Linked DNA regions of Danio rerio. The protein of the gene in region 1 interacts with the protein of each later gene in a biochemical or structural test. Links are inferred from orthologs where the notes say so. Each region holds a gene or a part of one and is shown in the gene's direction. Other genes may lie near its edges.

Region 1 (7,278 bases):
GTCTGCTGTGTATTTGAGAGCTTAGTTTTTAGTACAGCTTGGAAAATAAGTATTGAGCACATCACTATTTTTCTCAACAACATAAGGTGCCATTGACTTGAAATTTTCTGCGGATGTTAGTACCAACCAAAGAAATCCATACATGCAATGAAAACAAATCTAATTAGTTTACAAGTGAAGTTATGTGTAATAAAAATAATATGACGCAAAGAAAAGTATTGAACACATGAAGAAAGGGAGGTGTAAAAAGGCAGTGAAAGCCCAGACAGCAACTGAAATCTCTCAGTAGTTCTTCAGCAACCCTCTGCCCTTCCTCAGTGAAAATGAATATCAGCTGCTTCAGTCCAACATCTACATTAGCAGGAGGATGGAGATGAAATCAGGATGGACATTTCAGCAAGACAATGATCCAAAACACAGTCAAGGAAACTCTCAAATGCTTTAGAGAAAAAAACAAGCTGTGGAATGGCCTAGCCAATCACTTGACCAATAGAAAATACAAAATAAATTTGACAAGAGACCCACAGAACCATGAAGATTTTTACACTCTGTTGAAGTCTGTGATAAAAATCACACCTGAGCATTCCATGTGACTTCATTCTTCATCTGAGAGGTGTCTTTAAGTTGCCACCACCAAAAAGTCATGAGTATTAAACACATTTCAGTATTTTTTTCTTGTGTCATACAATTGTTATCACTTAAAATGTTTTTTTTTTTGTTTTTTTTACCAAAATCTGGTTCAATCTCATATCAACAGCTCCTTTAGAAATATTATTCCCAGGAAAAAAAAACATGATATGCTCAATACTTATTTTCCCCACTGTAGCTGAAAAAAGGCAGATGTTAAGCTTTATTCTCACAGAGAAATAATATCTGAACTACATCTCTATGAGAATCTATGAGTCAACAAAGTGTAGATTGGGTTAAGAGAGAGAAAATATGGTTATATGCTACATCCAGAACAATATTAACTTTACCACTGTGTTCATCTTCCTCACTTCAGGTGAAAGATGAAAACGTACCGGGTGCTAAAGGCTCGAGTGTAAGTGTTTAAGCGGCATCTTCATTACTGCATGACTCTGAGTTCAGAAGGTTGCCTGTTCAGAAATCAGATGAGCTCACATCTCTTAGCACTCAGCATTTGTTATTGTGGCTGGGGTTCACTTGAAAACACATCCTTGTGTGTTTACTTCACATATATCATCGGGAGTTGCTAAAGATGGGGTTTGTTTTGAAAAGCCTTTATCTTTTACGAAAGCTGTTGGCTTCCGGCCTTGCATTTGCTCTGTAATTGCTGTACTTTGTCTGTAATTTCTGTCACCACTGGCTTGCTTAGTTTTGGGACTTGTGAAGCTGCAAATCGATGGATTTGCTCTTCAGTGTTTAGACTTTTAGGAGTGAAAATTAAACCACACTGAACTGAACTAAACTAACTAACAATTGAATTGTTTGAAATAGGGCTGGGCGATATGACAAACATCTCATCAGTCATATCCTGATATCACGATACAGTACCATTTACAGTATGTAAATTCAGTTCATTAATAGTTTATTTCACAAATTCCGGGATTAATTTTCATCCCAAAATAATAAACACCCCAACCCCAGTCTATAAGTATACAATACAGCCATAATCAAAACTACTTTTTAGTTATAATATGTTGCTTTGGGGAAAATAATTCCCCATTAAGAGACAGAAGAAAGGGCCCTAAATCTTGTGAAATTGTCCAATGTTGCCTTTTAAAAGACATCTGGTTCATTCCAAGTGCAAAGTAGATATCAATTCATAAAGCTATAGTTTAGCAGTTGGATGATTAACATTTTTCCAGTGCAATAATAGTAGCTTTTTTGCTGTTATCAAACAATATGTATGAAATCTCTGTTATGCACAGCTTAGTGAATTTGTCAGAATGCTCTAATATAATAAGCGCTGCATCAGAATCTACGTGTAGATCAAGAATATCTAAAAGCAGTTTAAGGTAAAAAAGAGTCTGAAATTGTTCTATTTATTAAAACGCATGCTAATGGACTACTGAACAAAATTCTTATCCAAGTTATAAACTCATCTCCCAAATCAAGGAAAGCAAACAAGTAACCTCACTCCACTCAAATAACTTGCCTAGTTTACTCTAACCTGCCTAGTTACCCTAATTAACCTAGTTAAGCCTTTAAATGTCACTTTAAGCTGTACAGAAGTGTCTTGAAAAATATCTAGTCGAATATTATTTACCGTCATCATGGCAAAGATAAAATAAATCAGTTATTAGAGATGAGCTATTAAAACTATTATGTTTAGAAATGTGTTGAAAAAAATCTATTTGTTAAACAAAAATTGTGGAAAAAAATAAACAGGGGGGGGGGGTAATTCAGGGGGATAATAATTCTGACTTCAACTGTACATTAACAAATTTATGAATTAATATACCGAGTCTATTAGCAAGTGTTTTAGATAATATTTTTTATCAACAATGAGAAGGGAGATGGATCTTAGGAAGGGTCTGTACGCCTCGGCTTCTTTAGGATTTTTACCTTTTTTAAGAATTGCTGTAATAATAGCCTCAGAAAAAGTTGGTGGTAGTCCAGTTATTTACAGTTGCTGAAAAAAGCCTTAAACAAACAAGTATGTGGCTGAATTTTTTTATATAGTTCAGCTGGCAGCCCATTAGGACCGGGAGTTTTACCGATTTTTAAAGTATTTATTGTGATCTTTAATTCCTCTAAAGCAGGGGTGTCTAAACTCGGTCCTGGAGGGCCAGTGTCCTGCATAGTTTTGCTCAAACTTCTTTCAACACACCTTCCTGAAAGTTTCTAGTATACCTAGAAAGAGCTTGATTACCTGGGTCAGGTGTGTTTAATTGGGCTTGGAACTAAAATATGCAGGACACCGGCCCTCAAGGACTGTGTTTGGACACCCCTGCTCTAAAGCAAAGTCTTTATTAAGAGATGCCCGGTTCTCTGAAGATAACTCGGGGAGATTACATTTATGTAGAAATGATTCCATTGTTTGTGAGTCCAACTCCGTGTCTGAGGTGTATAGCTTTGAGTAAAATTCCTTAAAACATTTGTTTATCTCTTTATTTGCGATACAGTGAGTCCCACGTATAAATTAATCTTTCACTATATATTATGCGCAACTGTCTAACTAGTCATTTATGGGGTTTCTATCCAAATTGAAAATATTTCTGTTTCACATGATGAAAAGTTCTATTCATTTTTTTTTTTTACATTTTAAAGTATTTTCTGGATCACATTTGATCACATTTAACTTTATTTAGAACATCAGGGCAATGTTTGATAAAAAAAAACAAAAAAACAAAGGATGTCAGGTCTAAGCATGGGAGAAAAACTGTTTTTAGGGTATACGGCGGTTTGGGAAAAGTCAAGGTTTTAAAACTGCCAAAATTTTCTGTAATACTGTTCCTAAGGTATGTGTAAGTTTTTAATTTACATTTATTTAATTTTTTTTAGGACAACAGTATCTCCAGCAGAAAATATCCAAAGATGCCATTTTAAATTGTAAAGAAATCTGTGTTTTTGAAACTAACATAGACAGCAGTCAAGTCAAGAGCTGCGTCCCAAATGGCACACTATACACTATGCACTCATGCACTATGTACTTATGCACTTACACACTCAACAGCATAGTATATGTATGTACTGTCGTCCCAAATGGCACACTATTGTTTTTTTTATTAAGCGGAAATTCAAACCGTTTCCCTAATGACGTTTGACGGTTGCCAAATCAGTGAAATAAACGACCGAATTATCAAATAATACCTGCCGTGAGTATTGCCACATTCACCATCGGGAGGCGCTATAATCACTCTCGTAGAAGAATTTTGCTTTCACCATCCAAAAAAAAAAAAGTTATCCAACATGTGCGGCCGATAGCTCCGCCCCTTCCGCTACGTAAGCTAACCTGCGGTCGTTGAGTGCGTGAAGGGCCCTTCATTACACACTTCATTTTACCGTCTGAATGAGTGCATCATCTGGGAAATTAAAGTGCACTTATGATTTTTAGAGTTTTCAGTGTGAACACACTACTTACACTATTTATACTACAAAATGGCATAAGTAGTAAGTATGCGGCCTAAATAGTGCATAAGTATGCGATTTGGGATGCCGCTATGGATCCATTTAAATTATTTAGCCTGACATGTTTACTGCTCAAAAAAATCATAAATCTTTCAAAAAATAAAATATATTGTGTTCAAGGGAAATAAGTGGTTGTTTTTTTTACCTAGACTTTTAAAAACAACATATTTTAGAGCAGTGAGCACAATACCATGATACCATGGAACCGTGATATTTTTATCCAAGGTTATCATACCGTCAGAATCTGAATCCGGCCCATGCCTAGTCAGGTCCAACATAAAAAAAAAAAAAAAAAGCTAAATAAAATGCTAAATGTAAACATTATACTTTTTAAGTTTGTAACTTTCTCACAATGCTGCCTGAATCACAGTAATGGTGTGTAGTACTCTTTTATAAATTATGAAAGTAAGTAAACAATGTATTTTGTGACACCACAATATAAATATACATAATATAAAATTAACGGCTTTTTATTTTGTCCACACAATATATATATTGTCATGTTGCACAGCCCTAGTGTGTATGTAGTTCATCTATTTCTTCTTTCTATTTCTTCACCTATTTAATCCAGAGGAATTTGTGGAGTAGTATTGATTGAAAGGTGGCATTTTAATAGGTATTGGCAAAACAAAGTGGCTTCCAGAACTTGTGCTGAATGCTCAAATGTTCAGTTGTTAACGTACTGTAGTGTTCATGTTTATGTCAGAGTGATGGTATAGTATGTTGGTGTTTGTTTGGCACTGTCCTGCTGCTCTACTCTAGTGGGTGGAGCCTGCTGACATTACACCCTGCCTCTTTTCGTCCTCCAATCACTGCTGTAGTGTAGAGGAAGAAAGAGAGGGAAGGAGCAGGAGAAGGATGCTGAGCTAAGAATGTGCCTGAAGCAAATGTGTGAGAGGGTTGCAAGTCATCATGGAGGTATCGGACTGGGGGCCTGTCCGGCACTCTCAGAGTGCTGCTGTTGCTTTCAGCATCCCGCAGAACAGCGTGCACAGCTGGAAGAGCACCAGTATCATCACCTTCAGGATAGACATGAAGGTCTGTCTGCATATAAGAGCTCATTCTTAGTACCTTAAGAATAAATGTGCACTATAAACTGTCATTTTAAAGTGTGAAATGATTATGAGGTCTTTGGAATACTTAAGGTTCTGAATTGTGCATGGTGTGAGAGAGTACAAAAAGTCCATGCGGTTGATCCAGTAGAGTTGTGTTTCAGGGCTGTGAGCCAGCGCTGCGCTGCAGTGACCTTAATTACTGGGTTTGTCAGTTAACCTGTCTAACTGTGCTGAGAAAAGAACTGCAAAGTGCCTGGCCATGTGGAAGAAAGCAAATCAAAGTGTTTTTCAGATGAACTCAGTAGTGCTGCTGTGCTGGAGAGAGTGAAGAGCTTCTGATCTTTAGAACAGAAACCCGTCTGACACCTTTTGGGAAATTCAGGAAACTTTGGAAGGTTGTTGCTTGTGGAATTTTACCAAAGCTTTTGTAAACCTTGTATTATTGTAGGTTAGGAGTGATGTGAACTCTTATATTTTTGTTCCAGCAGCTAGCGCATGTTTACTTTGTTTTGACCTGTACATGTGTGTTTTGGGTTGTATGAACAGTCAGAGAGCGAGAACAACACGAGTCAACCCCAGACAACACCATCGGTAAGTGGTCCAACTGAGCGACAGCGAGGGGAACCATCAACACCGCTGAATCCAGAGCGGCCAATGAATATAGATCAGAGGAGCAGTGGGTCCATTAATGGAAGACAAGGCAGCATGGAATCAGATACGCTGGCAAGAAGAGGACTCAATCTGGCGAATAAAACAGGGTCAGAGGAAAAACAGTCAACAGCTACTTCAGTTCCCAAAACTAGCCGGCCCCTGCAAGCCAGCAGCTCGGTGGATGGAGATGCCCTTGCTTTCGGGTTGACCAGCCTAATGGGGCGTGCAAGAAGTAAGGAACATCGCTCCCGCTCGAGAGCTACCGAACGCAAAGAAACTCAGGAGGAAAGCCAAGAAAGGACTGGGGAAAGTGAGACACCCACAGAGGAACCCCAGCTGTCTGTCCCAGCAACCAGTCCACCTCCTAAAGCAGACCCTCTTGCACCTCCTGTAGGCTTTTTACCTCCTAAGCAGAATCCTCTAACCCCTCCAGCTGGATTCATTCCAGCTGCCAAACCCAATCCATTGGCTCCACCTGCTGGTTTCATCCCAAAACCAAACTCTTCCACTCAACCTACACCCAATCCTGATCATCCTACACCACCCTCAGGATTTAATCCTGCTTCTAAAGCAAACCTTTCCACTCAATCTGTGCCCAAACCTGATCCTTTAGCACCTCCAGCAGGATTTCTTCCCCCTCCGAAGCGAGACCCGTTTCCATCAGTGCCAGGATTTATACCCAAGCCTAAAGTTGATCCACTAGCACCTCCCACAGGGTTTATTCCTGCGTCCCGGATGGCCGCTGTACGAAAGCCGGAGGTACAGACTGCATGTCTTTCTGAATGCTTTTGTAACGCATGAAATTGCTCAGCAGCCCAGTCTTACTGCAGAACTAATCTCTCACTGTTTGCATAAAGGCTTCTGACTTCTCTACTACTTTAACTCTTTGGAGTGGATTGAAGTGCTATCTATCAAACCAGAGGATTGCTACGATAATTCAGCATGACAACTGATGAGAAAGTGACATTTTTGAAGGCACAACATCTCTGGTTTTAACAGCAAAGTTGTTGGGTTAAGGCGTAGGTTATATATCAGACTAACATTGCATTTGCACTGATCATGTCAATTGCGGACAACTTGTATCTGTTGGTTTCCATCTCACAAGTTTGGGGAAAAGCTGCTACACTAACTTTAAATTGCCATGGCATCTGTACATTGCTGTTCTCTGGTGATTTGAAGTGTGTTTTTATCTTCAATTTTGGACAAAAGCATCTGCTAAATGAATAAATGTAAATGTCTTCTCACATATAAGCCTAGTGACTAGTGGTATGTGTGTGAAGGTAAAGGGAGTGTCAAAACCTTCTGCAGCTCCTGCTGGTAAACTTCCGTCACAGATTTCCACCATCACCAACCAACAGGTGTGTGTCCTGCAACCCCCAAGGTATTTGAGTAAAGTCCTGCTTACACTGTGCCACTGCAGCCATGGTTTGGTTGTCTGAGACTAATCCTAGAGTAAAATCTGTGGTCTTTCATTGTT
Region 2 (4,840 bases), on another chromosome or scaffold:
GCCAATGGAAGTCTTTTATCCGCTCTTGGAAAATTGTAGATGGTGGATCAACATTCAGCACATGATCACAACTAAGATGTGTCATTATTTATAACTTTAGATGCCATGGTTTCTAAAACAAAAATCTGTCAGTGTTATTATTATTCTCATCTTAAGCGCTTTAGTTTTTCGCGTAAGTAGCTATCTCTGTCATCCCAAGCCAGAAGGCGCTGAGTGATTGACAGCTGATATTAACCAATCATTCGTGTTCAGTGCTAGAGCAGTGGTGGGCCAATAAGAAGAGCGCGAAGGCGGAGCAAGCATTACGGACGTGGATTTGTTTACTGCAGCAAGTTGAAATGACAACTGTTTTAAACCATTCCTGAGCGCTGCGTTTCGCATTTCAGGTGCAGACAAAGAGCTTAGAGATGCATCCTGCGTGAATGTCTCTCAAATCTGCGCATGTGGTGAACATTTTGCAGTAAAAACTGGTCGCACACAACAATTTTAAGCACTCGCAGAAATGCTCCCAAATATATTTTGAGGTCGCATAGATAAAATTTCGGGCGCATATGCGACCAAAATGGTCGCAATTTCGAGCCCTGAATTACATTGCATACAAATCAATGCAAATGTAAGAATGGGTGGATTACCATCCTGCAATGCGAGCGACCAGGAATACGTGACTTAATTGCTGCAAACATCAGAATTTTCCTCAATGATATATTTTTCATTTGCTGTGAACTCAGCCATGTTGGCCAATCAGAAAGGAGAAAACAGTGAGGAATACCATGAGGAAGAAACTCCAGTTGTAGTGTCCACACGACCTCACTAAGTTTCTGAGTTTTAGAAAATCTTCTCCCTGGCTAGAGTTTTCAGAAAGTTTTGGTTTCACTCACCCAATAGATTTTGCATAGAAAAAACTACGGTTTTGAAAATACTTGTGGTTATGTGGACAAGGCCTAAGTGAATTGCGTGGTTGCAAGAAGGTTGCTGGTTTCTAAGTTTGCATGCTCTCCCCGATTTGTATAAACTAAATTGGCTGTAACGTGTGAATGGGATAGAGTGTGGGTGAGCAGGCGTAAGGGTGGAGGTGTTTGGAGCTAAACTATGCAAAGCTGCGGCCATCCAGGAATTGAGTTTAAGACCATTAGATTAAGTCGTAGGAAAATGAGTGTTAATTGTTACTCTCAAAATGCTACAAATGTATTAGCAACACAATTATAATGTAAAAATCCATTTATATTTTACCTCATTATCCTCAACATTTCTGGTCCAGATAACTTTTGCAGTTATTCATCTCAATCTTGATTTATGTATGTCTGATAAGCGTTTTACAGATAATCACAACCCTGATGTCTACTTTAGCAATCAGAATTGAGTTGGAGTTTCAAATGAATGTATCATGCACACCAGTTGGAGGTAAAGTTTTGATAGTGATTAGAACTTAGAGTGGCAATGAGGTCTTAAAATATTCTGAGAAGGTCTTTAAAACGGTATTGAAATGGCCTTTAGGATTGCTGCATATACCCAGTGATATTTTTTAACATTTAGGTTACAGCTGCAGAGCAATTTGTGAAAAGATGCGTAACATCTATATGAAAGATGACTTCATGCTGTAGTTACAAATAAAATATTTCTAGTATAAGGAGGATGCTAAATTCATCTACATTTCTGCCAAATGAACCACAAATCACTGAATGTTTTATACTAAAAGTGTTTTGTCTTTCACAGGTGAAACATGGAACCCATTAAAGCTTCATTATCAGCTGCGTAATGTTCGAGAGCGCCTGGCCAAAAACCTGGTGGAGAAAGGTGTCCTCACCACAGAGAAACAAAACTTTCTTCTTTTCGACATGACCACACACCCCCTCACCAACAATAATATAAAGCAGCGCCTTATAAAGAAAGTGCAGGAGTCCGTGCTGGAAAAGTGGGTGAACGACCCTCACCGAATGGACAAGCGCCTTCTGGCCCTAATATTCCTGGCCCATTCGTCTGACGTCCTGGAGAATGCGTTCGCCCCGCTGCTGGATGACCAATACGATCTGGCCATGAAGAGAGTACGACAGCTGCTGGACCTGGAGCCTGAGGGCGAGAGCATGAAGAACAACGCCAATGAGCTGCTGTGGGCGGTGGTGGCCGCCTTCACCAAATGAAGCAGCTTGACTTCTGACAAATATGACGTTTGGACTGGTAAAATCAGGTTTGAGAAGTGGTGGATGAAAGTGGAGTCTCGGTGTCTTTCCTTCCTTGTAGATAAATCTCCCTCCCTTACTTTTCTCCCTGCAAGATCTATCATTGGGTTTCTCTCTCTTGTTGGAAAAGGGGACCAGTTTATTTTGAGTGCCGATGGGTTCCTTCTCACTGTACTGTTGAGAATTACGTTTTAGTATCGCTGCACAAAATGGCTTGTTTTTGTTTTTCAATGTTTTCATGCTTGGATATCTGCGTCGGTTATTGACCGACTAGAAAATATTCAAGAATTTGATTTCTGTTTTGTCATCTAATTGGGATCCATTTGTGACGGAAGCTGTGTACATTGCACAGTGGTACGGCTCAACCGTTGCTAATCTGAAAATAAATACACTAGTGTATATTTTTTAATTCGATTTGTTGTCCGTTTGTTGTCTAATAACGAAGGCTGAAAAGTAACCAAAAAAAGGTCATCAGAGTTAGTCCTGTTGGAATGACAGATAAGTTATTTGTGGAAAGGGTGCTAATGCTAACAGCTAACATTCACGCTGCTGAAACAAAAGCCCTGTTTACACCTATGTTTTGGTCAATCAGATTGGGTGTTTAAATCCATCTCCTTTGTCCAGACTACTTTGTCTCTATAAGCAGTAATGCTGTGGTGAGAAATTGATTCCCTGATATTCAAAATGCATTGTTTTTCACTAAATAGATTCTGAGCTTAGTTTTAACAGGAGACGGCGCTGTTTGATTTACTCTCCTTGCTTTCAGTTCCTTATAAATACCACTTGAACTTAAAATAATTAAATAACGAAATTTTTTTCAAGAATTACAAAATTGATTATCGTAAACTGACCAAACTTGCCTGACTCAGCGAATGCACAGCCACTCTTTCTGGAGAGCATTTAAGTATATGTTTATAAACGAGGCTAGAGTGCCACCTACTGTTAAAACTGCTCAAAGTTCAGATTTTATTGAACAGTAATGTGTTAAGAAAATTTTCGATTTGATGCAAAATCAATTTCTTGAATTATTTTTTATTTCCACAGCTCTATGTTGGGACAGAAAGTTTAATAGGATTTTTGCACGGTTTACATACAAGTGTGAAAGGAGATGATGAAAAACGATACTGACTTTGTTCTAATAGACACGAAACTATGCAGAACATTTCCTCAATGAAGTTACATTGATGAGGTTAAGGAGAATAGTTAAATGACGTTACACTACATTAGTGTTTACACTTTGAGAGTCAAATGTGTTTTCGCCTGCATTTAAAGGAAAAGAAAATTTGACCGATTGATGAAAACGTCTCTTAAAGGTATAGTTCACCCAAAAATGAAAATTCTGTCTTTTACTCAACGTTCACTTGTTCAAAACTTCTTTGAGTTTCTCATACTTGTCAACATTGGGATGTAAAAATACAAGATACCCTTCGAGAAATAAAATCAAGTCATAAAATCACTTTTTATTCACTGTAAATATTGATTAAAGTTATTTTAGTTGTTTAGTGAAGAGAAATGAATCTCTCATTTTGATCCACTGTTTTTCTTTTTTATAACAGAGGTGTCCCTTTAAGAATCCACAGATTACTTTCGTAACCGTTTATGCTCATTTAAGATAAAATTATTTGTTTTTAAAATGAAACACGCCAGGACAGATATGTTCACATATTATTGGGTGAATTTGTTCGTTTAAAAACACACCCAAACTGTGATTGGCTGTGAAGGCCATCGGTTCACAGAACTCACCACTGTTTACTGCATGTAACCACAGATACAGGGACACTGAATCGTTTTATGTCGACATTTGAGCGCTCGTATGTCAGTTTATAGACAAACCACCTGATCAGCGTGACGCTCCAGGGATTGAGATCGACAACAAGACTTCAGGTAGTGAAATATTAATTTCATCATGCTTTCAAACCATATATATATGGTTTATATATATATATATAAAGTGAAAGCATAATTCTCTCGAACAACTCTTGCAATTATATCACGTTTGAGATCGGCTCTTTGATGCTACTCTCACTTTTCATAGAAATATTAAAAATACAGGAGAAATACTTGACAATATTTAAACAGTGGAATAGAATGGTAAAATACCAATCTGATCTCACGAGAGAACAAAAGTATTTTACGTTTTGGCAGTTTAGTGGCTAATTCGTTACGAGTTCAGCCGTAAGAAATTGTACGATTTTAAAAAGGAGGCCTGGCACCTAACCCCACCCCTAAACCCAACCGTCATTGGGGGATGAGCAAATCGTACTAAAATGTACAAATTAGATCGTACGAATTAGCCACTACATGAAAAAGTTACAAATTGCAGTGAGATTGTGTTGAAAATACAGGAGAATCACGTCAAAACTGAATCGTTGACGGGTATATTCTGTTAAACACAAAAGAAAATATTTTAAAAATGCTGGTTGCTGGCACCAATCAACTTCCATATTAGAGGAAAAAATACAATGGAAGTCAATGGATGGCAGCAACCAGAAAGTATCTTCTTTTGTGTTAAACTAAAGAATGGAACTCAGAAGTTTAAAACGACGTGAGGGAAAGTAAATATTGAGGTCATTTTTATTTTCAGGTGAACTGTACGAGGTGTGAACAGGGCCAAAATGCAGCGTTTTGTTGACTAGTAAGTAAAAATGTATATAAGGAAAACA

The links.
Region 2: the proteins of myo18aa (region 1) and golph3a form a complex in vitro, tested with the Homo sapiens proteins (2 studies listed by IntAct). The link is inferred for Danio rerio from reciprocal best matches to the Homo sapiens genes MYO18A and GOLPH3.

Annotation. Positions count from the first base shown.
Region 1 is NC_133185.1:42,093,382-42,100,659, reverse strand, and holds part of myo18aa (unconventional myosin-XVIIIa), read left to right. Parts: 5' UTR 1-898; coding exon 899-1,042; intron 1,043-3,236; exon of another isoform or gene 3,237-5,007; coding exon of another isoform or gene 5,008-5,133; intron 5,134-5,696; coding exon 5,697-6,560; intron 6,561-7,081; coding exon 7,082-7,159; intron 7,160-7,278.
Region 2 is NC_133180.1:42,003,406-42,008,245, reverse strand, and holds part of golph3a (Golgi phosphoprotein 3), read left to right. Parts: intron 1-1,713; coding exon 1,714-2,138; 3' UTR 2,139-4,840. UniProt on the Homo sapiens protein: Phosphatidylinositol-4-phosphate-binding protein that links Golgi membranes to the cytoskeleton and may participate in the tensile force required for vesicle budding from the Golgi.